Linked DNA regions of Callithrix jacchus. The protein of the gene in region 6 interacts with the protein of the main gene of each other region in a pairwise test. Links are inferred from orthologs where the notes say so. Each region holds a gene or a part of one and is shown on either strand. Other genes may lie near its edges.

The links.
Region 1: the proteins of CCDC136 (region 6) and HMG20B interact in binary tests that used the Homo sapiens proteins (3 or more experiments, as listed by UniProt). The two-hybrid records come from large-scale screens. The link is inferred for Callithrix jacchus from reciprocal best matches to the Homo sapiens genes CCDC136 and HMG20B.
Region 2: the proteins of CCDC136 (region 6) and ASB7 interact in binary tests that used the Homo sapiens proteins (3 or more experiments, as listed by UniProt). The two-hybrid records come from large-scale screens. The link is inferred for Callithrix jacchus from reciprocal best matches to the Homo sapiens genes CCDC136 and ASB7.
Region 3: the proteins of CCDC136 (region 6) and HDAC4 interact in binary tests that used the Homo sapiens proteins (3 or more experiments, as listed by UniProt). The two-hybrid records come from large-scale screens. The link is inferred for Callithrix jacchus from reciprocal best matches to the Homo sapiens genes CCDC136 and HDAC4.
Region 4: the proteins of CCDC136 (region 6) and PDLIM5 interact in binary tests that used the Homo sapiens proteins (3 or more experiments, as listed by UniProt). The two-hybrid records come from large-scale screens. The link is inferred for Callithrix jacchus from reciprocal best matches to the Homo sapiens genes CCDC136 and PDLIM5.
Region 5: the proteins of CCDC136 (region 6) and LENG1 interact in binary tests that used the Homo sapiens proteins (3 or more experiments, as listed by UniProt). The two-hybrid records come from large-scale screens. The link is inferred for Callithrix jacchus from reciprocal best matches to the Homo sapiens genes CCDC136 and LENG1.
Region 7: the proteins of CCDC136 (region 6) and RAB33A interact in binary tests that used the Homo sapiens proteins (3 or more experiments, as listed by UniProt). The two-hybrid records come from large-scale screens. The link is inferred for Callithrix jacchus from reciprocal best matches to the Homo sapiens genes CCDC136 and RAB33A.

Annotation. Positions count from the first base shown.
Region 1 is NC_133523.1:3,337,029-3,340,954, reverse strand, and holds the start of HMG20B (SWI/SNF-related matrix-associated actin-dependent regulator of chromatin subfamily E member 1-related), read right to left. Parts: upstream 2,801-3,926; 5' UTR 2,750-2,800; intron 2,474-2,749; exon of another isoform or gene 2,457-2,473; 5' UTR 2,439-2,456; coding exon 2,401-2,438; intron 2,057-2,400; coding exon 1,948-2,056; intron 1,377-1,947; coding exon 1,173-1,376; intron 219-1,172; coding exon 98-218; intron 1-97. UniProt on the Homo sapiens protein: Required for correct progression through G2 phase of the cell cycle and entry into mitosis. Required for RCOR1/CoREST mediated repression of neuronal specific gene promoters.
Region 2 is NC_133507.1:9,369,518-9,373,699, forward strand, and holds the start of ASB7 (ankyrin repeat and SOCS box protein 7), read right to left. Parts: upstream 2,801-4,182; 5' UTR 2,359-2,800; intron 2,185-2,358; 5' UTR 2,086-2,184; intron 1-2,085. UniProt on the Homo sapiens protein: Probable substrate-recognition component of a SCF-like ECS (Elongin-Cullin-SOCS-box protein) E3 ubiquitin-protein ligase complex which mediates the ubiquitination and subsequent proteasomal degradation of target proteins.
Region 3 is NC_133507.1:160,370,064-160,373,081, forward strand, and holds the end of HDAC4 (histone deacetylase 4), read right to left. Parts: intron 2,308-3,018; coding exon 2,166-2,307; intron 1,760-2,165; coding exon 1,720-1,759; 3' UTR 501-1,719; downstream 1-500. UniProt on the Homo sapiens protein: Responsible for the deacetylation of lysine residues on the N-terminal part of the core histones (H2A, H2B, H3 and H4).
Region 4 is NC_133504.1:102,891,378-102,894,877, forward strand, and holds the end of PDLIM5 (PDZ and LIM domain protein 5), read right to left. Parts: intron 1,753-3,500; coding exon 1,637-1,752; intron 188-1,636; coding exon 98-187; 3' UTR 55-97; downstream 1-54. UniProt on the Homo sapiens protein: May play an important role in the heart development by scaffolding PKC to the Z-disk region. May play a role in the regulation of cardiomyocyte expansion. Isoforms lacking the LIM domains may negatively modulate the scaffolding activity of isoform 1.
Region 5 is NC_133523.1:47,340,471-47,344,648, forward strand, and holds the start of LENG1 (leukocyte receptor cluster member 1), read right to left. Parts: upstream 2,801-4,178; 5' UTR 2,778-2,800; coding exon 2,646-2,777; intron 1,599-2,645; coding exon 1,419-1,598; intron 508-1,418; coding exon 245-507; intron 1-244. Other genes in the region: voltage-gated chloride channel TMC4, read right to left, coding at 3,379-3,447, 3,542-3,620, 3,877-4,032, 4,129-4,178.
Region 6 is NC_133512.1:118,369,040-118,372,539, reverse strand, and holds part of CCDC136 (coiled-coil domain-containing protein 136), read left to right. Parts: intron 1-555; coding exon 556-1,068; intron 1,069-1,466; coding exon 1,467-1,688; intron 1,689-3,094; coding exon 3,095-3,373; intron 3,374-3,500. UniProt on the Homo sapiens protein: May play a role in acrosome formation in spermatogenesis and in fertilization.
Region 7 is NC_133524.1:125,837,775-125,841,860, forward strand, and holds the start of RAB33A (ras-related protein Rab-33A), read left to right. Parts: upstream 1-1,286; 5' UTR 1,287-1,387; coding exon 1,388-1,645; intron 1,646-4,086.

The DNA.
Region 1 (3,926 bases), on a different chromosome or scaffold from region 6:
ACTCGTCTCGAGCTCTTGACCTCAGGTGATCCACCTGCCTCGACCTCCCGAAGTGCTGGGATTACAGGCGTGAGCCGTTGTGCGTGGCCTCTCCCACCTTTCTTGATCTTCTTCTCCTGCATCTTCTCCGTGCACATCTTGTAGGCTTCCGACTGCTGGTATGCCCGCAGCTCCCTCATGTACTGCTGCTTCTCTCTCTCCGCCTCATCCAGGTACCGCTGGAGGGCAGCACCAGAAGACTTGACCCACCCAGAGGCAGGGGAAGCCTCCAACGTCAGGACCCAGTCTCCATCACTCAGCTTTCACTGCGCCCTCCCCCTCTCCTGAACCTTCGATAGCTCCCTATTCCCTTCAGACAGACAACCAACTCCTCAGCCTGTTGCTCAGGGACCTCCGAGCTCCCACATCACTTCCCATGCCCCTGACTGGTTCGGCCGTGACAAGCCCCTCCCAGATGCCAGTCATGGGCAGGCACCCACCTCCAGGATATGCGAATGCCTGGACTCCCTCCTACACCCGTTTCTCTTTTTGAAATCTCACAAGGGTGCATATTGGTGGTGGCTTTGATATATTTTCTTAACGTTTTTGCAATTTTTAAATTAACAGAATATGAAAATCAGGTTTCACAGAAACTCCAGGCCACACCCAACTTCTGAGACATATCCTTGTTGGTCCTCCAGTTTTCAATCTGTCTGGCCTCTTGCTAGCCCCGCCCCCAAAAGCTGGTTGCGGGCCGGGCTCGGTGGCTCACGCCTGTAATCCCAACACTCTGGGAGGCGGAGGCTGTTGGATCACTGGAGGTCAGAAGTTCGAGACCAGCTTGGCCAACATGGAGAAACGCTGTTTCTACTAAAAATACAAAAATCAGCCGGGCATGGTGGCAGGTGCCTGTAATCCCAGCTACTCCGGAGGCTGAGACAGGACAATTGCTTAAACCTGGGAGTCGGAGATTGCGGTGAACAAATATCTCACCACTGCACTCCAGCCTGGGCAGCAGAGCCAGACTCCATCTCAAAACAACCACAAAAAAAACCCACCAAAAAAACCTGGTCATGGGTGGACATTTCTCCGGCCGGAAAAAAAAACCCTGCACGTGGAATCCTTTGGGGGTCAGGGCTACTGGGGGGTGGTCAGTGGACCCATCGGCACTGTTCGGGGACCCGCCCCCCCACCTGCTTCTCTGTTGGCTGCAGCTTGCTCCACTCGGCGCCCAGCATCTTGGTGATCTCGGGAAAGGGCAGGTCCGGGTGGCGCGTGCGGATCTGCTCGCGCCGCTCGTTCAGGAAGCGCACGTAGCCGGTGACCGGTGCCTTGGGCCCATTCGGCAGAATCTTCTTCCGCTTCTTACCCTTGGGCCAGCCGCGTTTCTTCACCGGCTGCAGAACCGGGCTGCGTCGTTGGGAGGGCGGCCTGACGGCCTGGGGCGGGGCTCAGAGGGGCATGGGCGGGGCCTAGTGCATGGGCGGGGATAGGGGTGGGGCCTAGCTGGGAGGAAGAACCCGGAAGAGATGGAGGTAGGGCCGGGTTAGGAGTCAGGACACAGAGGATTAGAGGGGTCCCGAGCCAGGGGTGAGGGGATCTGAGGGGACTAGGGGCCGAGGTTTGAGCCCAGGGGTAGGTTGTGGGCGTGGCCTATTCTCGGTGGGAGTGGCTCCTTGATGGAAAGGGCCCACAGGACCATAGGAAAGGGTGCCGCCCCCAAGGAGTGGAAGTCAGCGGGGCCTTAGCGTGGGCAGAGCTGGCATTGGGCGGCGAGCGGAGCCTGGATTTAGAGTGGCAGAGGATCTGTCAGGGGCGTGGCAGCTCGCACGGGGCGGGGTCTCAGCTTCCGGAGGAAAATCTGGGCTGTGGGCGGAGCCACAAGCAATTCAAATCTAGCTTGGGGCGGGGCTTCAAGGCTGGGGCGGGAGCCCGGGGCCTCCCCAAGCTCAGCGCAGGGACTCTCACCTCCTCCTCGTGGGACCCCTTCTCGCCGGCGCGTGGACCCTCGCCGCGCTCTTGCTTGACAGCCACCACGAAGCCCCCATGCTGGCCCGGAGCCTTGCCGCCCGTCGGCCTGGAGCCAAGGATACCAGGGTCAGCCTCGTCCCTAGAACCTCCCCTCCCCGCAACGCCCACCCCAGGGCTTTTAGACCCCCGACGGCGGGGCTGCAGCGAGGGTGCGTGAGCCCGAGGAGGCGGGGTCTGATGGGGTCAGGATCCGAGGAAGGTGGGACAAGCGGGGCTCCTGGGAGGGACTGGAGGCCGAGGTGGGGGGTGCAGCACCGGGTGGAGGGAGAAGCCCCGTGACCCAGGTCGGGCAGTCAAGACCCAGGTCGGCGGGACTGAGGCGGGGGTTCTGGAGCTAGAGCTGCAGCCGGGAAGGTGGCGTGGGCGTGGGGAGAGGGTCGGCGGACTCACGCGGCGGCCGCGCCGGGCTGCTTGGGGCCGTGGGACATGGCCGCTCCGGGCCGGACCTGGAACACGGACGCGGCTGGAGGTGAAAGGCGCCCGGGTCGCCCGGTGGCGGACCACGAACTGGGGTACCCCGCGATGGAGCCCCGGGATGCCGGGCCCGAAGCGCTGGGGGGGCCGGATCCGGGGGCGGGGAAGTCCTCGAGGGCGGGCGCCCCAAGAATCCTTTGTTGGGCGATCGCCCCCCGGGAGGCCTAGGTCGCTTCCCCCCAGCCCGGGAAAGACCCCGGCCCGGCCCCGGGACCCCCGCACCCCCGCCCCCTCGCAGGGCCTGAAGTTCCGCGGCTGTTTTCACCTCCTAAGAAACTTTCCCGGACCTCCCGACTGCGCGACGCTCCAACCAACCGCCCGCAGCCCGTCCCCCGCCCCCGCCGGCCGCCCCGCCCCGCCCCTGGCATGCTAATGATGGCCTCGGCGAACGGTCCCATTGGGTGCGGTCTTCCCCTGGGGCGTGGCCATGCAGATACAGATCGGCGCGCTGGCTGGCGATTGGCTGGGGAGGCCGCTGAGCCGCGTGGGTGGTTGGTAGGGAAGGCGGCGGGCGGTGCGTCAAGTTCGGCTGCGCTCGGCCGCGCTCGGGACCAATCGGAAGCGTGTGGCCGACTTGCCGGGCGGAGCCACTTAAAGGGCCAGTAGGCTCGGCGCGGACTCCTCCGACTCTGAAGGCGAGACTCGCAGCCGCTGCCGGATGGGGCGACCGGCGGATCCGGGTCGGACCACGCCCCGGTTGCCATGGGGACGGACGGAGGCGGGTTGCTAGGCTTAAGGTCCCGCGGGGCAGCCCCCAGCCCTGGGGCCTGGTGGGTTGTGTTCTTAGCTTCCTGCAAAACCTAGTTGGGAAGTTTCCTATTGATTTACTCAGGTTAGAGCCCGCGACGTCCTGATCCCGGGACTTCTGGCCGCAGGGGCTGCTCGCTCTCTGGGACCCCGGCTTCCCCTCCCGTGCTACGGGAACATCGCAGGATGCTGCGAGGCCGAGAACGGGGGGTGGGGTCGGGAGCTGGGCTGGAAGTGTTTTGGGAAAGATGGTGAAGGGAGGTTGCAAGGGCCTCGTGAGGATGGGGGTGGGAGGCTCCCCGCTAGGGGATCGGAGACCTCCCAGCAGGAGCCTAGTCTTCTGGCCCTAGGTGAGGCTGCCTCTGCTCCTGAGGTCACTGGCTGCAGACCTCAGCCCCCTAGACCCTACACCACCTGCCCACGTCATGTCCCTGCCTTCCTCTTCCTCTTTTTTTTTTTTTTTTTTTGAGACGGAGTTTCGCTCTTGTCACCCAGGCTGGAGTGCAATGGCGCGATCTCGGCTCACCGCAACCTCCGCCTCCTGGGTTCAGGCAATTCTCCTGCCTCAGCCTCCCGAGTAGCTGGGATTACAGGCACGCACCACCATGCCCAGCTAATTTTTTGTATTTTTAGTAGAGACGGGGTTTCACCATGTTGACCGGGATGGTCTCGATCTCTTGACCTCGTGATCCACT
Region 2 (4,182 bases), on a different chromosome or scaffold from region 6:
CATTGAATATCTTCAATTAAAATCAATTATTCTCCCTACGTGATTATAAATCTGTATTTGGTGACCAAATAAATTGGATTTTCTTTTTAAACCACATAATTGGCAACAGAATCAACAAAAGCTAACTGCCAGATTAAAAAATGTAAGCTACCTAACTAGTCGTGTTGGTAAATACCCAAATTCAATATTGTAAATGTCTGGCATAATCTAGAACAAACACTCTCAATCATTCTAATATTAGAAACATTACAGATGCTGATGATTTATATATATTCTCTCATTTTAGAAAAACCATTAAAAGATGAGATGATCCACGAAATACCATTTAAGCAACGAGAATGAACTGGCTGAGAGCCAGGGTAAAGCCTCATCCTCTCTTACCTTATATGCTGGACTAGCCACAGACTCCCTCCCTTACCATCTCAGGTGAAACCACCCCTTAAAAATGAAACCATCCTAGAGTTAAATCTAAAGCAGAAAAAAATATTTAACTGAGAGGCTTGAATACAAAACACAGTACTTGATTTTTTATCTTTAAAACATACTTCAAATATTTTAGCATTTTTTAGAAGTTCTGAAGTAATCATTAGGCCATCTCCCTGGCAACTTCCATACTTACATAATAAAATTAGCCTTTAAAGGTTTCTGCCTAGCTTTTACTGAAATGATGTAGTCAAGTACTCCCGATTCCCTACATACACATACAAAGGCTGCCCTAAGTTTTCACCAGGGAACGGTAACTGGTACATATTGATTCTAAATCCTGTTCTGTAGAATCTCTTCTTTTGGCATCCAGTTCCCTGTCTCAAGAATACGTATACCTCAGATCCCCTTAAAAGCATCTTTAGCTATGTCTTGAGAATTAACAAAATCAGTAAAGATACTAATTTCTTTTTGTGGAGGGCAGAAAGTCCAGAGGAACATAGGAAAACAAAAATATTCATTTCTGCTATTTTAAGTACTTCCCTGTAACAAAAATTCCCTAAACAATCTGGGATATTAAAATAGATTAACACATCACTTTATACTTTTGCTACTGGATGTTAGAAAAGTCATTCATTTGGCTAATTTTGGAGTTAAACTTTGTATAATTTCCACGCTTATATTCCCTCTTTAGGAATTACACTAATGTCCTAAGCTTACCTTCAGTGCATTTTCAGAAGCAGCAACAAAATATGGCAGCAGAAATGTGATCACATGAATTAGATGCTTAAACTTCAACCTAGCAAACTCTATGTAAGGGTTTTGAAATGAGAAATCTTTTCTTATAGAATGCTAAAATTAAGAGCCAGATATGTAAACACACCAAAAGGTTCCTTTGTTTTTAAATCCGTGAGAGTCAGACGATCAATAAGATATTGTGTAAACTTTTTAAAGTTCTTCTAGAAAATCTGAGGTGTAACTTACAAGTTTCAAAGCCCAGCCACTTTGTGACACACAAAAACACAAAAAGCCAAAAGAGTTAATTACACTTAAATGCTTCAGGGTAATAAGGTTGCCTTTATACCATTCACACTCTTAAGGCACACAGGTTCGCTTTTTAGCAGGAAATAAAATCAATTTTCTGACACTCATAAATCTCAAGCCATTAATTTACCTTCCTCTACCAAATCATTGTCAACTCCCTAACTCAAAAGATTTTTCTGATGCAGGTAGAAGAAAGGTGATAGGAAAAAGTAAGGGGGGGAAACAGTAAATTATGGTTTAATTAAAAGGGAGAGTCATTCAGAATTAACAAGCAATTAACAAAGAATTGAGGAATTCCTATGAGAGTAAGGAAGGGGGGTAGCTATAAAAAGGTCTCAAAGTCTCAGAGCAAAGTAAATGGCACAGTGTACCAAAAGACAACGCAAAACACCGAAACACTGCACAGAGAGAAAGTGGGAAAATACGTTCCTGGGGCAGATTAGTTATAAAATGTTAAAGATCAGGCACGAGTAATGTTTTTGCTTTTCCTGGGAAACTGAGGGAGGGGTTGGGTTAGGAAAGGTTGCATTCCCAGGCAACCACCCTGAAAATAAAGCACTGCCTAATGAGGTAGGGGCCAGGAATAAACAATGGGGGAGGGGAAGGCTGGCTCATTACCTATATAGACGATGCTGATCAGAGGCAATGTCCCTTCTGCTTCCCTGGTAAGTGGGTAGACCCCTTCCTGCTTTCGCGTCTTCTTCAGCCAGCTCAAACCTAGAAAAACAGAAACCAGTAAGTGGTGCAGTGTCTCAGGGGTGAGGAGGGGGCTCTGAAGAAGGGGGAGCTCAGGAAAGCGACTGGAGAGTGGCAAGGGCAGGCAAGAAAAAGCAGATATTTTCTTCCCTCCCAGCCAGCTCTCTTCCCCTTGGGGGAGGTATCTGACTTTACCTGTCTCCTCAGCTGCTGCTTCTCTTCCTCCTTTTAGCCTCCTCCACACTCACCAACTTCTCCATTGAAGAAATACCCAAGGCAGGGCCGGACCCTGGTGTTCCAGATCCTCCTCGGTGCTTCACGGCCCCAGCCCGGCGAGCATCCAAACAGCCGAGCAGGCAGGAGGTGGCGGTCCCGGCCTCCGGGCAGCCTCGGGGCAGGGGTGTAGGGAGGCAGGGAGGAAGTCCCGGCTCCGGTGGGGGGGGCAGTCCCGGTCCAGGGCTCGGAACTAAGGGCTGCCGCGCTCCGGGCCGGAGGCTTCCAGCTACGGAAGGACCCAGGAGGTCTCGGGACAGCAAGGTCCTAGGTCATACGAGGTCCGAAGTGCCAGCCGTGGGGTCTCCGGACAGGGGGCTTTCGGGATGCACTTTGCACTGGGCCACCCCCGCCCCCTCCCTCCAGCACTTTGGGGTCACTGGGATGGGACCAAGCCTTCAGCAACCAATCAGCGGCCGCAGTGGATCCTGAGCCTGGAGCCGTAAACCAGGTCCGGGGTGGGTGGGGGTGGGGGGAGTGGGGGCGACTTAGTTGGTTGGTTGCTTCCCTCTCTCCTCCTTACCCCCAGCAGCCCCCACCTTCTGCCTGCCGTAAAGCTGCCCCTGCATTCGCGACAGTTAAGGGAGACGTGCCGACCGGGACTGAGGCTCGTCTCCGATTGGTCCATTCACTTACCCCCACGGCCTCCCTGTGGTGGCTTCCGAGGCTCCGCCCCTGACGAGGGACTCAAAACGGTTGCTAAGAGACACTGTACGCCGAACGCGGTCTCTGCGCATGCGGGAGGAGGGATCAGCGTGTACTTTCTGTGAACTACGGTGGCCCAGAGAGGGCTGGTGTGTTCTCTCGAATGGCGGTGTGAAGAGAGTTTGTCTGAGCCAGATCCCAGGCAGGTAACCCGGAGCAGCCGCTGAGCTCGGCGGCCGGGGAGGCGTGAGTGCAGCCAAATGAGGGCCTGGTCCAGGGCTTAAGGTTGGGAGGGCGGCAGGCTCAAAGAAGCGAAGAGAGGGGTGCCTCTTTCTCTGCTCCCGCTCAGCGCTTGTCAGACGCAAGTGCCCGGTCCTTGGCGCGTCTGTCTGTCCCTGAGACCCCGTTAGCTTCCAGGCTGGGAATCCCTCGCCTAGAGTGGGAGAAGGGACTCTCTTTGGGATGGCGACGCCGGTCCAAGGGCTTCCCTGAAGGGATAGCAACGTTGGCGGGTTCCTGAAAATGAATGGAGAGGGGGCGTGGGGAAAATGCGAGATAGACTGATCATGACACGTTTATTAAGCGCATTTATTCATCTCGCAAGTGTTTTCCTGGCCCGTGTTCTACTCCTTGAGGAGACAACAATGAACAAGATCGTGATTTCCGGGGAGACAAACACAAAATTATGAGATAGGGATGGGTTATATGAGGAAAATCAAGCAGAATGGTGGGATCGATTTTGACCAGGACGTGATGGGCTATAGCATATTAGATAGGTAGTGCTATGGTGTGAATATCTGTTCCCTCCGAACTCACGTGTAATCCCCAGTGTGGCAGTACTGAGGGGTAGAGTCTTTAAGAGGTGGTTGGATCATGAGGGTTCTGTCTTCATGAGGGGATTCATCTATTAATGGATTATCATGGAGGTAGAACTGGTGGCTTTATGAGGAGAGACCTGATAATGAGCCTGCTCAGCCTCTGATCACACGATACTTTGCAGTGCTGCCTCCTGACACCAGGTGTGGTCTGTCAGTCTTGAGAGTTCCCAGCCTCCAATACTGTAGACGATAAATTATTTTTCTTTATAAATTACCAAGTTTT
Region 3 (3,018 bases), on a different chromosome or scaffold from region 6:
AAAAATGTACAAGCAATAATTCAGAAAGGAAAAAGATTTAGACATTATTACCATTCAGAAAATTGCTAAACGGTGAGGAAAAATGTAAAATTCATAAAACAATGCTTATTCAGGATCTTTTTTGTGAAAAATTCATACAAAAATCAACAGCAAATTTATACTCTTTGCTATAAAAACTCATTAGGTACATATGTGCATGAAGGCTTGGAGACAGAAAGGGTTCTGTTAGAAAATAATTAAAATTAAAGTACAAAGTTGTCGGGTAGTTGCCCAGTGGCGAATGTGTTGGCGATTTGAATTCTAGCCAATCTGGAGCTCGAAAATACATGAATTTCAATCAGGATCCCTTTCCATAAGCACCTTTAGAGCAAATTCACAAGTCATTCGTTTACAGGGACCTTCGCAATCTGCATTCATTTTATATATATATATATATATATATATATATATATATATATAAATGTGTGTGTATATATATATATATACTTTTTCTAGAAATGCATTATAAATATTTTATCAAGATTTCATAAGAATCAAGTTTCTTAGCTTGGAATACATTGGAATATATATTATACACATATATATTTATTTATACCTAAAATTTAAGCAATACTTCATGCTACTTGCTTTTAATAAAAAGCATTCCGATCGGAGCACTGCAAGTGTGCCTACCACATGCTTCACGACCAGATGGAGATGCTCAATCGCTATGTGATGTGTGACAAGAGAACACTTTGGATTCGTCTAAAATTTGTTGGACTTCAAAACCTCCAACGGGATTTGCCACTTTTTTGGAACTACCTCCATTTTCCTTAAACAGCAATAAAGCAAAATGGGGCCCGGCGGGCTACAGCCCCTGGCCCCGGAGATGATGGCCGGTGCCCGAGCTTGGGGCTCAGGCCAGGTCATGGGGCCAGCACTGCCAGCCTTAGCTGGCCACAGGAAACTGTCCCACCAATTCCTGCTGTTTATTTTTTCTTAAGGCATTGTTCCTCAGACTTCAGAAAACCCAGCCACAAAAATCCACCAGAGCAATAAAAAAAAGGCACAAACTCGCATCTTCCGATGGCTTTGAGAAACTCAAGCCAGCTTCCCCAGGCTCACACTCCTGATTCTGTCCGGTTTTGTCTTCTTTAAAGGTCACTCTGTCCCCCACCTGGGTGCAGACCCCCCCACTGCACACTGCTATGGTTCACAGCGGCAGGCCACAGCCGTAGAAAACGTTCTCTTTTAAAAAAAAAATAAGCTACAAGATGAGTCGAGTGGTTTACACAGAGACTGTGGAGTTGCGTGTGATAATCAAACTTTAAGCACCTGTTTTAGTCAAGTTTGTTTTGCATTATCAGATCTCTGATGCTCATTTTCTGTGCCTCGCGTCAACGGAATTCAGCGGCTCGGCCGCTCGTCGCCGCAGGCTTCTTTCTACCGCGGCGTCCCTCGCGGGACCCGCCAGAGTGTGCTTGGCTTGCGCGTGTCCGAGTGTCTGCGCGTCAGCCGCATCTGTCCCGTGCTCCCTGTGAGGCCGCCACGCCCAGGTGTGCATGTGCATCTCGAACCTGTGGGCCCAGGCGGCAGAAAGGCTTCCCATGGCTGTCACACGCCAGGTGTCCCTGGGTGCTCCGAGAGCCCCGTGGTGGGACGCAGGCGTGACACGGGAAAGTTTCTTGGCTGAGCTTCAGGACAGACAGACAGACAAGAGAACAGCAGCTTCGAGGGGCGCTACAGGGGCGGCTCCTCTTCCATGGGCTCCTCGTCTGGTCTGTGCATCCCGCAAGAGAAAGAGACAGGGGCGTGGGGCACATGCCCCGCAGCAGAGAGAGAACAGAACGTGGGTTAAAGGCCGCGCGCTGCCCCAGCTGCCAGCCTAGCCCAGGTGGCATCTGTTCAGGGCCTACTGCTCCTTATGTGTCTCTAAGGGGCTTTGGCACTGGATGGAGGGGGCCACCTGGCCTGTTTCTAGTCTGATGGGCATCCCTCTCCCAGGGCCTGCCCTGCCAGCTTGGTAGGGCATGTGCCATAAAGGTTCTGACCCTGCAGAGTATGTCACTGGGCACAGTGGGGCTGGGTGGGCCTGCAGGCGGGCGGCAGGGCAGGTAGGCGGTGGGGCAGGCGTGCGGCGGGGCAGGCGGGCGGTGGGGCAGGCGGGCAGCTGGGCAGGCGCTCACCTCTTTTCGGCGGGCTTCACGCCCACTGACAGTGAGGCCATGGCGGTGACCGTCTCGGCCTCGTCGTTCTCGCAGGTCTGAGCCTCGATCAGAGAGCGCCCCGCCGTGGAGGCTGCACGTTGTAGGCAGCGCCAGTACTTGCCTGGGGCAGGGAGAGGAAAGGTGTTCAGTGACTGCAACTCCGCAGGAGGCTCCGTGGCCTGGGACGTTCCTGCAGGACCCTGAGCCTCAAACGACATCGATCCCTTGTGATTTTTGAAGCAGCCCTCTTCGAAGAGGCACGAGGCAGGCAACTGCATAGCTGCAAACTCACAAAGACCAAGAATCTCTGGAAATATTTCCCCATCGTGAGTGGCTGGAGACCCTCCAGGAGCAAGCCGGCCTAGGACGGCAGACGGACGGTCTGGTGGGCCTGATTTTCCATGCTCACGGGCCCCTTTCTGCCCTGGGTGGCCAGGAGTGGGGGCTCCCAACCTGCTGGGCTGAGCCTTCCCATCTCATGGAGCAGGTGAGCTGGGGGATTGTTGCTGGGGCTGAGGGGTCTTCTGCCTGGGCCCTCACAGAGGCTGGGGGTGGAGGGGTACTGCACCAGGTACAAGGAGGGCTGGGCTGGCCCAGGGTCAGCTTCAGGGCTCTGAGGCCAGGACTCCCCCACACAGGGAAATGGGAGCCAAGCTCTGGACTGTACCTGCTTGTGTGGACAGTCTCAACCTTCTGGGTCATCTCAAAGGCAAACTGGGCTTGTGATGACAGGGTGTGGGAGGTGCCTCTGAGATAGGCTGCGTGCCATGCCCCTGCAGCCAGGACCCTCTGCTTGAGGGTCAGTGCCGGAACGCAGAGGGCCTACACCCTG
Region 4 (3,500 bases), on a different chromosome or scaffold from region 6:
CAAAACTCCAAATAAATATTGAATCTAAAAATTAATTAGTAATTTTAATTTTCATTTTTCTCTTCAAATTTCTTCTCTTCTCCTGAACTGTTGACTTTCAAAAATTCACAGAATGAGCATGTTTCTTACACAGTGGCTTGTCCTTCTTGGAGAAAAAGGTCTGACCTTCCAAACTTTCACAACACACCTGAAAAAGAAGCATTATTTAAGAGGATATTATTTAAAAGGATATTATGCATTATTTAAGAGGATATTAAGAGGATTGTATCAAGTATGCTGGAGAAGGAGAAAGTGATTTTTCCCCCAATGGATAATACGACAAAACACTTTAGTTGGTTATGTTAGACTCCCTAATATTTCACAATTACTAGGACAATTAGATATAATCTTTCAAAAGCAATGAAATATGGCTTTTTCCTAGAATGTATTCTACTTTATAGAAAGCACTGAGCATCACTTTTCTTTATCCAGAGGGAAGATTTATTCCTAACTAAAAATTTAATATAGAAAGAGGGCCCATTAAATATATTGTATCTCCCTGAATTCTAAACAATGTCTTAATTTTGCTTAGTGTTGTAGGGAACCAAAACATGACTCATTTGCTTTACCAAACCTTCCCAAGCCCAACATTAGCTTGCCCACAAATACACAGAATACCTGAGAACTTTTTTTTAAGGGGTGCCTTGTGTTCAAGCTGAGACCTCTTTTTAGTTAGTTTCTTACATAAAGACCCAGGTCAACATCTGGCTGCTGCAGGATTACACAGTCAGCTGACTATCTACATGTACAGCTTCCTGTTCTTCCTGCTGCCTTTGTTAATTAAAATTCTCATGAAGAGCTTTATTAAAGAAAAGGTAAATCTGCTAAAACTTTTGCTTTTTATAGACTTTATGAAGTCTAAGAGATGGATGAGGTAAACATGAGTTCAATGGTAATGTTTGGGGAAATCATTAGGCTTCAATTAATATTACTTTTGTTCCCTTTGTACAATGGGTATTGAAAACTATAGCTATGTTAAATCAAATTTTCAAAAATCAAACACCTGAACAGAGGCATGTTTAGTGGATATTTACTTCCTACATTTAAAAACTATATATTTTAATCTCTGAATCTATCCTAATCATTAAACATAAAACCAAAAATATTAAAATATCAAATGAATAGGCAAATACTTTGTTACATGTTTATTAGACTATAGTCTCAAAAAGAAAAGAATATCCAGAAGCTACTGCTGAGAAAAGAAATGAATCAACATATACTTTATTCCTAGTGTTAATTCAAAAATAGATTTTGATAATTGTTCCTTTGTATTTTAAGAAGTACCTAACATTTCCAAAAACTACTTTTTTTAAGTAAAGGAAACTTACTGTTTTAAGAAATAGATAGCTTCTTCTTATAGACAAAAATATATTAAAATTATATTTTCTCTAAGGACTAAGGATCTCACTGTTTGCCAAATAATTTAAAAAATGCCAAAAAATGTAATAAACAACTTTTAAAATTTACAAAAAAGTAAAAATATATATTTTTTAGGTTCAATGGACTAAAAGATATGAGAGCTGATATTTCCATTAAATACTAAAGCTAGAATTGGCCGTACTATTCCCCTTTAAGTAGGAAGTAAGACTTTACTTACTGAGCATACAAAGCAAGTGTCATGCCAGGTGTAGCCCAGAGCTTCCAGGAACATGTCACCAGCTTCTATGGGAAATTCACATCCATGGCATATAGTACCAAAGAGGGCATAATAATCTGTATTGAGGCAGGGCAGAGAGACATAATTTAAACACAATGAAGTTGTAGAATGATCGTTCCTAGAAGGCAGCAACAAAATCAGGATTAAATGAGATGCTAAAGATAAAGATATTAGGAATTTGAAAAATTTCAGGAGATGGCATAATGTTTGGCTTGAAAGATATGTTCAGCATGTTTCAGGATTCCCTTGGTAAATATTATTTATGCAACCTAACATTCTTGATTATAATTTTCCATGTAATACTTCTCGCTTCTCTCCAACTACTTAATTGCCTAAATAAGTATAAAGAAGAACTGTTCTGGCCAGGTGCAGTGACTCACGCCTGTAATCCCAGCACTTTGGGAGGCTGAGGCAGGTGGATCATGAGGTAAAGAGATCAAGAGCTTCCAGGCAAATATGGTGAAACCCTGTCTCTACTAAAAACACAAAAATTAACTGGGCATGGTGGCACATGCCTATAGTCTCAGCTACTGAGGAGACTGAGGCAGAAGAATTGCTTGAACCCAGCAGAGGGAGGCTGAAGCGAGCCAAGATTGCACCACTTCATTCCAGCCTGGGAGACGGGATGACACTCTGTCTCAGGAGGGGGAAAAAAAGAAGAACTGTTTTGTGACCAGTTATCAGTAGAAATAACTGTTCTAAAGAAATACAAAGGAATACTAATAACTAGCAACAGTAAGACTAATGGACAGGGACCAAGAACAAATGTCTGATATTGGCAAATTTCATAGTGTATCTGACTTGGGCAAGAAAGAAAAAGAAACGTTGCAGGAAACTTGTATGAATAAGTGCTATGACTGAATTTCTAGCTAGACTGTATCACAACAATATTAGCCACAATTTATTTTGTTGTATTTTCCTTTCAATTTTGTAACTTCATGTTGAAAACCCTTGCCCAGAAAAGACCATTTACTTGACATAGACTACAGTTACAAGAATACTAACAGGATTTCCTTCTGAAGAAAGCAGTTTTGAGAAGATGCTTTCTAGTTTTACCAAATTAGAATTTTCTTTCCTTTTTCTTTTTTTTTTCATTAGAGAGTCTCACTCTGTCACCCAGGCTGGAGTGCAGTGGTGTGATAATAATTCACTGCATCTTCCACCTCCTGGGCTCAAGCCATCCTCCTGTCACCATCTCCTGAGTAGCTGAGCCTACAGACACATATCACCATGCCCAGCTAATTAAAAAATTTTTTTCATGTAGAGACAGGGTATTGGTAGGCTGCCTGTGCTGGTTTTGAACTCACAGCCTCAAGGGATAATCCTGCCTTAGCCTCCTGAAGAGCTGGGATTAAAGGCTTTGAGTCACTGTATCTGGCCCTAATTTTCTTTCTTTTCTTTCTTTCTTTCTTTTTTTTTTTTTTTAGACAGAGTCTTGCTCTGTTGCCCAGACTGAAGAGTAGTAGTGCGATCTTGGCTTACAGCAACCTCCGCCTCCCGGGTTCAAGCGATTCTCCTGCCTCACCCTCACGAGTAGCTGAGACTACAGGAGAGGAGCCCATCACCATGCCTAGCTAATTATTTTTGTATTTTTAGTAGAGACAGGGTTTCACCGTGTTGGCCAGGCTGGTTGCCCTAATTTTCTTTTAAGCAGCTCCTCTCACTACTGTGTTGACTCATGGTTCACCCTTTGGCCTTTGACATTGTCAGTCCAACCTCAGCTGAAGAGGAAAGCAGGCTATAATTTGCAATGCAATTCACCTTTCTTAGCAACCGTCAATCTTTAGTATTCCTTCGCACCATT
Region 5 (4,178 bases), on a different chromosome or scaffold from region 6:
AGAATGAGTGTGAAAGGCAAACAGTGTTAGGAAAATAGGCTTGACACCACGGCACCCCCCGGAAAGGGAGTCAGGACCCCTAGGGCTCCCTGGACCACATGGTGAGAACCACTTTTCCACCCAGCCATCCCTTCACGGGGTCCCTGGCTGTTCCACCCAGAGCTCCTGCTGTGCCTGTGCCAGGCTGCTGCCAAGCCCTGAAGATCTGGGTCCTGCTCTGCCAGGGCAGGGTCCTCCTCCTCACCCCTTGGGTCGCTGTGTCTCAGAGCCATCCTTTTCCTTTCTGCTGTGATTGCCTTCATCACTGCTGTGCCGTCTCTTCTTCCCCAGATGCTTCTGCATCTCCCGCAGAGGGTCCAGGCGGCTCTTTATTTTCTCATCTGGGGCTGGGCCAGGCGGGGGACCCCCTCGCTCTGGTGGGAGCTGGTACCAAGGGGGTTGAGTCTGGGCCTCGGCTGCACTCTGGCCCAGGTATGTCAGGATGCCCAGAGCTTTCTCTTGTCTCTCCTGAGGGGTCAGGAAATAAAAGAGATGGGATATAATCTTTCAGGGTGTCAGGTTTATCTCCCTGACACAGGTATCTAAGGCCTATGGTGAAGCAGCTGTGCCAGGTGCTGGGGAGGGAAGAGACCAGCAGAGGCCAAGCTCCTGCCCTGGGGTGACGATAGCAGGGACAGTCACAGAAAGCAGAGGAAGGAGGGGATGGGGTGGAGCTGCCTGAATGTTCAGAGGCAGGCATCTTTGCAGGGAGCAAGCAAAGCAAGAGGACCCGTGGGTGGGGTCAGCAAGTCCAGAGACAGCAGGTGAGGAACAGGAGCTTTTACACTCGATCTTAGCCAAAAGGCAAGAAGTGATTGATTCACTTTTTTTTTTTTTTTTTTCCTGAGATTGAGTCTCACTCTTGCCACCCAGGCTAGAGTGCTGTGGCACGATCTCAGCTCACTGCAGCTTCCACCTCCTGGGTTCAAGCGATTCTCCTGCCTCAGCCTCTGGGACTAAAGGTGCATGCCACCATGCTCAGCTAACTTTTTTTGTATTTTTAGTAGAGATACCATGTTGACCAGGCTGGTCTTGAACTCCTGACCGCGGGTGATCTGCCCACCTCAGTTTCCCAAAATGCTGGGATTACAGGCATGAGCCACCACCAAGCTGATTTAGATTTTTAAAAGCTCATCAGGTTTGAGACCCCTCCAGTTTGGAGACCTGAGCAGTTCACCTAGCAGCTGGGGATCTCGAGCATCTACCTCCAAGCCCTGAGGGCACCCAAATGGCAACAGCCACCACTTCTGAGTGTGCTTTGGTATGGTTCTAAATTCTGAGTGTTCACTCTTGTTTAGCCTTAGTCACAACCAATGGCTAAAGTGTCCCTCCCCCCAGCTCCATTCATGTCTCTGATGAAGTAGATAAGGCCAGCTTACTTTCTCCTGTCGCTTTTCTTCCTCGTGCTCTTTATTGCCTCTGATCAGGCCTTTCCCCTCCTCCAGCAGCTCTCGAAACAGGTCCACAGGGCCAGAACTTGGGGCTCCCACCTCTGCTGCCTCAAGCTCAGGCAGTGAGTTCTGATGTCTGGCTTTCTTCCGTAGGAATTCTGTACGGGCCTGGGGAGAAAGTTACAGGCAAGACATTAAAAACCTAAAGGTAATTCAAGAACTTTTAAGTCTGGTGCGCACCACAGGAAACAGCAGTCCAGGGTGCTGGGTTTGTAAGAAAGGGGGCACCTGTCCTAGCAGGGGTGAGGGTAGGCAGATAAGGCAACACCTGGGTTTTGTAAACTGCCTTTCAAATAGTAAACCACACATCAAGGATGGCTGGGAGGAGGTCCCTGGCCTAAACCAAAGGGGTTCCTAACCTCAAGTGAGACAATTAAAACAGCTATAAAGGTAGAACAAACTGCATTAGGTCAGATGATCTGGATTCCAGGCATGGCTCCAAGTCATTACCCCAAGTCCATTGATGAAGCCCGGTCTCCCACCTTCAGGACAAAGCTCTCAGCAGCCTACTGAGATTCTAAAAACCCAGACTACCTCCCTCCCAGTGTGGAGGATCAGACTGGCTAAGGAACTGAAAGTTAGGTGTACACCAAACAGATTTAAGGAGCTATACATAAAGCCCATGTTTGTGTGTGTGTCTGGGGGTGGTGCAGGGAAAGGGCTCGCCCAAGGGGGTGGAGACTTCCCCTCCCTTGACGCCATCTCACTTCGTGCCACGGAGATGACAATGCCTCTTTAAGAAAGAACGGTGCTTAAGGGGGATTCTGGAAGTCAGGCGTTCTGCATGCAGTTAGCATACAGTAACTGCTCAATAAATAGACTGTGCAAGCCAACTAGAAAGTGATCCGAATTTCCTCAAACTGTCCAAGGAATCCTGAATTCGGTAAACATTTATGCTTCTCTTTTGTGCTAGACACTGCTCTAGCCATGTGAAATACATCAGTGGGGGGAAACAAGACGAGGGGGCGATCAAGGGAGATTTCATGCAAGTGGGCACAACGTTTGCCGAGCAACGTTTCGGAAAAGAGGTCCGCGCCGGGTCACGAATTACATACGGGGCACACGGCGCCTGCGCAACGCGTCCACTTCCGGCCCCCTACCATGGCGCCTGCGCGCTGGGCCCCGGAGTTCCGCCCGGCCGGTTCCCAGGCTTACCTCCTGCTGAGCCAGCAGCACCCTCCGCTCACGCTCCTTCTCTTCCTCCCGGGCCTGGGCCTCGTCACGCCGCACGCGGGCAACATTGTCCTTGTTCCGGACGTGCCAGCTCTTCTTGGGCAAGATATTCATGGCGTCGTAGCAGTCCACGGACTGGCACGCCCGCCTCTCTGCACTTCCGATTGGCGAGAGAATGCCCCTTCCCTCTTGTCCCTACTTCGACCACAGATTGGTTCTTAACTCATTGGTACGGCCCCCTGGCCTGTAACGACAGGTGATTGGCTAAGACGCCCTTTATCTCAGCGAATGCCAGGCTTTTGGCGCGTGGTATCCCCTAGCAACCGCTTTTCACATATCCGAGCCAATCGCAAGTTGGCCCTCCCCTAATGCCAGATTCGGCCGCCGATTGGCCAACACAACCATCAAGTCTCCTTGCGGAAGAGCACTTCGAACGGCCACACATTCCCATGCATTTGATTGGCTCCCGCCCTGATGTAGCCCTGCCCCCACCTTCAGGACGCAGATTTCAAAGCGCGCTCAGTCACCTCGGCTGTGTTTATTCATAGAAGAAAGATCACCCGAGAGTCTGGGACGTGGCGGCGAGGGTCTCTGGAAACCTCCAGATCCTAGAGCTGGAAGAGCGTGGGGTCTTCTCTAGTTCTCCTAGTTTTACAGATGTGACCTAGGCTTACAATTGGCCTGGAGTCTGAAGGTGGGACATGGGCTGCAGGGGTCAAAAAGCCGGGTGGGTGGAGCTCAGCGCCACAGCGCGCCGTGCGAGGAAGACTTTGTTCTGCGCCTCCTGAGGCAAAGAGAGGTGGAGGTCAGACAGCCCTCTCCCCCAATGCCTTTCAATGTCCCCCACGGGGTCCCTCTCAGGGACCCGCCTGGCTCACCGTCTCTCTCTGACGTTTGAGCTGAGAGATGAGACGACCGTAGGAGTTAGCCAGAGCCACAGTGTACGCCATCAGGATGCTGGAGGAGACACGAACAGAAGCCACTCCTGACACGCTCCTCCATTCTATACAAACCCCTGGCTCCTTCAAAGCCAGGATGTCATCTACAAGGACTTCAGTCTCCCAGCCCAGGAGTCCTAAGTCCCACCCTCCTCCTCCTCCTCCTTTGGACCCTAGGCCTCCTCCCACCCCGAGCCTCTCCTCTCTCCGACGCAGGTGGTGGCCCCCAGATCACGTGCATTCAAACCCAGACCCAGAAGTCTGGGCAAACTCACCTGGAAATCAGCAGAAGGGGTACAGCAAAAGCCTGAGTCCCCAGGAAGAAGAGGAAGTTCTGGGCGGTCTCAGGGAGGCTGGAAATAGACTCAGGGATCTGGGCCCAGATGGACGACTGCCCCCGGAATGGACCACATAGCTTAGAAGGTGGGATCCTGAAGTCAAGATAGGCTGGGCTCACGTAGAGCCAGGAGTCTGAACGCTGAACGCAGGGAGAGGGAGGGAAAGAGGCAGGAGCCTCTCGCACTTACAGGAAGATGCTGTAAAGCAGAGGAACGCTGGAGATGGCCAGACCCAGGAG
Region 6 (3,500 bases):
TAGCTGATCAGATCTCATCCTGGACATCAGCAGCCAAGAAGCCAGGCCTAGAGGGCCTGGGAAACATGCCCAGAGGCCAGATTCAGAATTGGGGCAGGAGATACAGGAACTAATAGTAAGATCTTGCTTACAGTTCTTCATATTGCTGCATTCAAGGCTGGGGCTGATTTTAGAACTAGGGGTGGGGGAGGGGACTGAGCCTGAAGGCCAGGACAACGGGTATACCTGACTGAGAAGAGGATGTGGTAGGGAGCCAGGGTGTTCTGGAAACCCACTGCTCCAAGGAGACAGGGATATAACAGAGTGCAGAAACCAGCCAAAATGGGAGCCCAGAAATCATGGAGTATCTGCCTTGGGGAGATTTTCCCAAATGAGTAAGAAACTGACACATGCCAGTTACCTGTAGGCTAAGTGAAAGACATAGGCTGGTGTGAGGCTGAAATGTAGGTGTGCCATTCACTAAGATGTGCTCTCAGACACCTGCACCAGGAAAGGTGCAGCTGAAAGGACTGAAATGTCAGAGTAATGATAATGTCTCCCCACCCCTGCCCCCAGCAATCCAAATTGCTTATGGAGCAGATGCAGACCCTGCAGGTGCTGTATGAAGCCAGTCAGGCGGAGCAGGAGCTCTTGCAGCAAGAGCAACGGAGGCTCCTAGAGGAGCGGAAGAGGCTGCAGACGGACTTGCAGCTCTGCCTCGAAGAAATGCAACTGCTTCAAGTCCAGTCCCCTTCTATAAAAATGAGCCTTGAGTCCTACAGAAAGAGCTATGGTAGCAGCATGCCCCCCAGCAATGAGAACTGTCACGATAGCCATAGCACAATTGATGACAATGAGAGCTATTGCAAGAGTTATACCAGCACCCAGACCAGAGACGAGAGCCTCCTCAAGAGCTATGACAGCAGCACCAGTGCCAGTGAGACCTATGAAAAGAGTTATTGCACCACCAGCAACAGCAGCATTACCTATGAGAAGAGTTACGGCAGCACCAGTAGCTTTGACACCTTTCACAAGAGTTCTGTCAGCAGCTGCACTGACGATGAACCTGCTGAGCCTGAAGACACAGAGGTAACAGTCGCCAGGTGACAGGTCAGGCAGAGGACGATGGACTCTTGTCTTTTTAAGAGATACATTGCCGGGGGAAGAGACAAGAAGTGTGGGAATGGGGTCAGAGCTGATGTGGGGAACTACCGGAAGTAAGCAAAGCCCTCTACCCATGGCAGCCTGGCCTCCCCCTCAGCCCTCTCATAGAGAGATGCCCCCATCTGAACAGAGGCCCATTTATCCCCATAAAGAGCACCACCACAGTCACGGTGCTCTTTATGGGGATAAATACAGTATTCCTCCCGGGCAGCTCCAGATCCTGATGGCCATTGTTTGTTATCCAGAGAAGGGTCCAGCAGAGTTGGGTGGAGCTTAGGTGCTCCTGGGGTGCTATTGTTGCTCACCCCCCCGCCCCCCCACAGCACTTTGAGGAAATGGTTGCGAAGGTGCTGATCAAGCTGCAGGCAGTGCAGGCCATGTACCAGATAAGCCAGGAGGAGCACAGCCAGCTGCAAGAGCAGATGGAAAAGTTACTGGCCAAGCAGAAAGACCTGAAGGAAGAGATGGATGCCTGTGAAAAGGAGTTTAAGGAGTGCATGGAAGGCCTTGAAAAGCCTGTGGCCCCCCAGAACGACCAGAATGAGGTAACTGCTGTCAGGGAGGCAGGGTTTCCTCTGGGAGCCCCTGGAGCCAGAGGAGTCATGGCCACTTCAGAGAGGCTACAGAGAGAGGGACAAAGCAGGGAGAGCATGCGGCTCAGAGGCTGGGCAGTCTTCTGCATCCCTGCTGACATTTCCTAGTGCTCATGGAGCTGGGGTTTACTAGTTTAGTCATCAGGATCCTCTCATCAATGATTTCTCTCTTTCTCCCTTTGCCACTCCTGCTCTCTCTTTTGCTTTGTGTTCTAGACCACTTCTGTAGAAGTATATTTTTGAACTTGCCAATCTTTCATCACTGTGTGTGCATTTGCCATGTCTCCCGGTGTACCAACTAGGAGCACCAACTAGACTGTAAGCAGCTCAAGGACAGGGACATGTCTCCTTTTGGATCTCTCACAGTGCCAAGATGTCCCATTCCTAGAAACGGGACAGAAGCCTTGTCTCTGGCCAGGGGCTCACAGTCCAGTGGGAGTCTCTTTGTATACACATGGGAGAGATTCGGAGAGCAGCGAACACATGGGTCCAGACTGGCTAGTATTGGTACCTATGGAGAGAATGGTGACGTGTTGCCATCAGCCAGGGAAGACAAAACCCGAGATGAGGGAGCAGGGTGTGACTTGCCTCTGTTTCCAGGGTGAGGTGCAGGAGCCCAGTACCCACTTCAGGAGTGTACAACACAGTTCTTTACGTTGTTCCTGTTAGCGAGATGGGTTGGATGAAGTAGGAGTTCTTGTAAAAAGAATTCTATAAGAAATCCCTGAGGTTCAGAATTGATAGCAGCCCTATCGTTATTCCCCAGTCACAGTAAAAAAAACACAATTTAAATAGTTTTTTTGACCTTTTTTTTTTTTTTGAGATGGAGTTTCACTCTTGTGGCCCAAGCTGGAGTGCAATGGCACAATCTCAGCTCACTGCAACCTCCATCTCCCAGACTCAAGCGATTCTCCTGTCTCAGCCTTCCGAGTAGCTGGGATTATAGGAGCCTGCCACCACACCCAGCTAATTTTTTTTGTATTTTTAGTAGAAACAGGGTTTCACTATGTTGGCCAGGCTCTCTCAAATTCCTGACCACAAACGATTTGCCCACCTCAGCCTCCAAAAGTCCTGGGATTACACTGGGTGGCAAGTGAGCCACCACGCCCGGCTGTTTTTTTGATCTTATTAGATATAAATCGTCAGGTGCCTCAAGTTAGAGAGAAGCTATCTGTAAAACTATTTGAGAGGCTTATTTTCCACAGTGGGATATTTTCTTCGTTGTCTACTCCCTATGACTTTAGCAGGGAGATTTCTGAGGCAGTGACCCCCTAAGCAGGACCGAGGTTGGTTGCGTGGGCAGCTAACTGGTTATATAACCCCCCAGCTCTGGATAACTGGCCCTCCACTACCAACAGATCAAAGACCTGCAGACCAAGCTGCGGGAGCTGCAGCTGCAATACCAGGCTAGCATGGATGAGCAGGGGCGGCTTCTGGCAGTGCAGGAGCAGCTGGAGGGGCAGCTGCAGTGCTGCCAGGAGGAGCTCCGCCAGCTCAGGGAGAAGAGACCCTCCACTTTCAAAGCCCAGGGGAAGAATGCTAATAAGAACATGAACAAGAATGCCAATGGGGTTAAAACTAAAAAGGTGACCAAGCTGTGCTCAGATACTTCCAAGAGTGACTTTGAGACCAGAAAGGTGAGTAGTAGCCTTAGTAGCTAGATAAGCAGAAAGGAGGAGGAGATCCTGGGAAGAAGCATCATCTCCTCTGCCCTTTCAACCAGGCAAGGGATTTGTAGAGAAGCTTCTGGGATCTCTGAAGTGT
Region 7 (4,086 bases), on a different chromosome or scaffold from region 6:
AGCAGCCCCCTAATACTGCAAAGAAGTTGTGTTCATTTATCATCTTCCAAGCATAATCTAGGCTTCTGGCAAATTAGACCCAACCACTTTGTTCTACATTCAGCTGCAGGGGAGTGAACCCTCCTACGGATTCCCAACTCCCTCTGAAACTCCACCCTTCTGGAGGGCTTGGGAATGGAAAGCACTGTGGAGCTAATGCCATGTCCAAAGACCCTCCACCTGAGCCAGTAACTGTTAGCCCCAGAAACAAAGTCCCCTTTTGCTGGAACTGCCACCACTAGCTTCCCCCCTTCTCTTAGCCTCTGTGTGGCCCTCTCCGGCCGAGGGCCTTCCCCATTGGCCAGCCAAACACAACCGACTGCGGCAGCCAATAGGAGCCGCTCTCCTGAACATTCAGAGGATGGGTGCTCGTGGTGTGATAAGGGGAGGTTGGCGCCTGGTACGCGCCCCCCTACATCTGGCAAGTCCGTGGCAGAAACAGTAACATCCCCTACACACGCACACGCGCGCCCGCTGGCTCCCTCCTCTCAGCTGTGCAGGCCCCCGACAATCCGCTGCGTGTCTTGGCAGCACCCTCCCAGGCTGCCTGGGGCCTGCGAGTGCACCTGCTCACTCAATAAGACAGAGCATCCCTTTATCCCTAGGCGCGGGTGGGGTAGGGGTGGGGGTAGAGGGGACGGGGTAACGGGGACTGGGAAGGCTCCACTCAGCTGTCCGCTGCTCCCGAGGTGAAAGAGGTGCCCCCGCCCCCACCCCGCCCTCGCGTTGCTCCAGCAAGGTCGAAGTGATCCAGTGATGCCTTAGGGTGCAGCTCTTTGTCCTTCCCAACTGCGCTCCCTGCCCGCTGACCCCATGCGCTCTGAGCCAGTGGGGGCAGGGAGCCCGAAACTTATAAATGGGGGCAGGAAGAAAGAAGTCTATCCCGGGGTGGCGTGTGCCACCGTCCCCACCCCCTCCCTTTCCTCCTGAGGCTTCTTCCCTCCGGTCCATCCCTAGGGTGCAAGCAGGGGACAGTGTGGACCGACGCGCGGCGGCGGCTGGAGCAGCGCCGTAGGGTCCTTCGCCCAAAGCATCCGGTCCGAGGGTACACACAGGCAGAAGGCTCGCAGCTCGTCCACTCTCCTCCCTCTTTCCTCCTCTCCCTAGCTTTTGTGTTGGTGCCTCCGAGCTGCAAGAAGGGTGTGCTGGAAGAGGAGGAGGGGGGCCGGGGTGAGAGGCACCCCCTTCACGCGCGCGCGCACACGGTGCAGGCGCACGCTCACACGGGCGGACACACACGCGCGCACACACACGCACAGAGCTCGCTCGCCTCGAGCGCACGAACGTGGACGTTCTCTTTGTGTGGAGCCCTCGAGGGGGTTTGGGGCCCCGGTCCGGTCCGGGGGAGATGGCGCAGCCCATCCTGGGCCATGGGAGCCTGCAGCCCACCTCAGCCGCCGGCCTGGCATCCCTGGAGCTCGACTCGTCGCTGGACCAGTACGTGCAGATTCGCATCTTCAAAATCATCGTGATTGGGGACTCCAACGTGGGCAAGACCTGCCTGACCTTCCGCTTCTGCGGGGGTACCTTCCCAGACAAGACTGAAGCCACCATCGGCGTGGACTTCAGGGAGAAGACAGTGGAAATCGAGGGCGAGAAGATCAAGGTGATCCAGAGGGTCAGGTCCGGGAAGGGAGGGACCTAGGAGGGGACCTCGCCCGAGGCATAGCTCTAGCCCGGCGTCCGGCTTGTGGCGGTTTCGCCTCTTGCTGAGCCAAAGACCCTCAGCCCCTTCTCAACCCTTTCACCTCTCTCAGTGGGGCCCCATCCCCACCTCACTCAATTTTTTAGGGAGGGCGAGAATGGTGACATTCTTACCCTTTGCCCCTGCCTGACAGGTCCTGCCAGGAAAATGCATGTTGGATCCATCCTCGACCCCTAGCCAGAGCAGCGGCACCTGTGGGCAGAGGGAGGCAGGAGGCATCTCTGGGTCCTAGTCTGTGGGATGGATCCCAAAGCACTTTACACATCCTGAGGTCTCTTCTACCTCTTGGGTGCCGATAGGCTGCAAAACGCCACTTTGGCTAAGCCTCAAGGCATTAGAGGGCAGGGAAGGATGGAAATTCATGGAGAATGAAAAAGCTGTTTCATTTTAAATTGCAGGTGAAAGTTAAGATTAGGACTGAATTGAGATGGGGTGGAGTGGAGTGGCTCTGGCAGATAGCATTGAGCCCTTTTGAAGAAATTGAGGCAGGGTTATCAGCCAGCCCTTTGTAATTGACAAAACTTGTTTGTTTGGAACAGGGCCCCTGGAGCGGTATCTTCTTTACTTGTCTGGGGTATCTAATAGAAGAACTGCTCCTTATTCATTCTGTTGGTATTGTCTTCGGAAGGTCTTTGTAAAAATGCAGAGTGACTTAACCGGGGGCTCAGGGAAATGCTCAATCCTCCCCCTCCATAAGTCTATGTAATAGGCGAAGTGCAAATATTCTTGTCTGACCATTTGTGCTCACCTTTCATTCAGAAAAGGTAGAAACCTGAGATGACAGGAATATGTCAGTGTGCAGGAGATGGCGGGAGGGAAGACATAACAAGGGCAACTTGGTGTGTCAGGGAGCAGAGGGGGCCTTTATAAAGGCACTGGGATCACTGAAGACAACTCTAGGCTCACAGCTGGTCTTTCCTTGAGCCTGTGGTTGAACCCTATGCAGAGTCAGGGTGACAGTAAGCCACCTTCTTGCTGGTCAAATGGCCACAGTGACCATAAGACCCCTCTTCTGAGTGACATGGAGAGAAGAGCTGAGTGACTGATGAAACACTTGAAACTGTGTAAGAGTCCTGACTCCTTGATTATTAAAATAAATGTGTTCTAAAATTGGCTTCAGAAACTGGGCCAGCGCACTAGATGTCAGGAAGATGGACAGCTCAGTGCTGATAAGGGAGAGCCTCAGGGTCAGGAAGATAGAACATTATTTTGAAATTGTGATCTTTTTGGCCCCTTGCATTTTGGAGGGGAATTGCTACATTTCCTTTTAAAGTCAAAGGTGATATCTGCCTCTGTCCTTTCCTGGGGCTGTTATGTTGACATTTGCTTGGTTAGGACTTCCCCTAGTGTGTCTAGCTTCTTTAATGTAAGGCTATATGATTCTAGAATTTCTAAAACATGCCTTTGTAATCCAAAGTAGAAATATCTTTACGGATGGGCTCTTAAACCCTCAAAAACCTTAACGTTTAATGCTCTTCTTTGCTTAAAATCAAGTGTTACAATGAGCTAAAGAGTTCCCTGGATTTAAAAGGTGGGAAATAAGTCCATCTAAAATTTAGATGGAGAAAAAGGAGGTATTTGGGGATCTAAAGGAGGGAAGAGGAAGCTAGAAAGTGAGGAATGGGAGATGAATACGAGTGGAAGAGTCACCATCCAGTGGCCTTGGGGGAATTTTTAAACCATTTATTCTCTTCCAACACCCCAGTACTTAACCAAACTGGATTTTATAGTCTCTGCCAAAGATTCCGGACTTTTTCCCAGAGGGCAGAGCCTGTGACAGTGTGACTCACAAGAAACAGAACTCAGCACAACACCACGTGCAGATAAGTGCTTAATAAAGGCTTTTTTTGGGAAGACGATATTTTCAAGAGGACAAAGCCTTGTGACACTGGTCATGGAGGAGTCCTGTGAGGGCAGATTCCGAAGGAACTCAGAGTGGCACGTGGGAGTGGGGAGACGGAGACCCTGCCTCTTGTAAATCTGCTGCAATCGCAGGGCCAGAGCTGGCAGGCGAGAGACCAGCATGTCTGTGGGAAGGCGGCAGAGCCTGGCAGCTAGCACGTGATCTAGATAGGAAAAGATTTGGCCTCACACTCTGGCTAGCCTGAAGTTGTTCAAGGAATACGTGCCAAAGCCATGCTTGGAGATAACTGCCAAAGGCTCCCTTTGGGAGAGAGAGAAAAATCCAATGCGACAGTCTGAGGTCACCCTAGACCACGGTCAGTAATAGAAGGCTGTTGGGCCGTAACATACCAGCCCTTGCAGGACAGTGGTAGAGAGGTCTCAGCCAGCTCTTCTCAGTCCAACAGCAAGGGTGTGGTCTCTTCTGGGCAGCCTCCCTG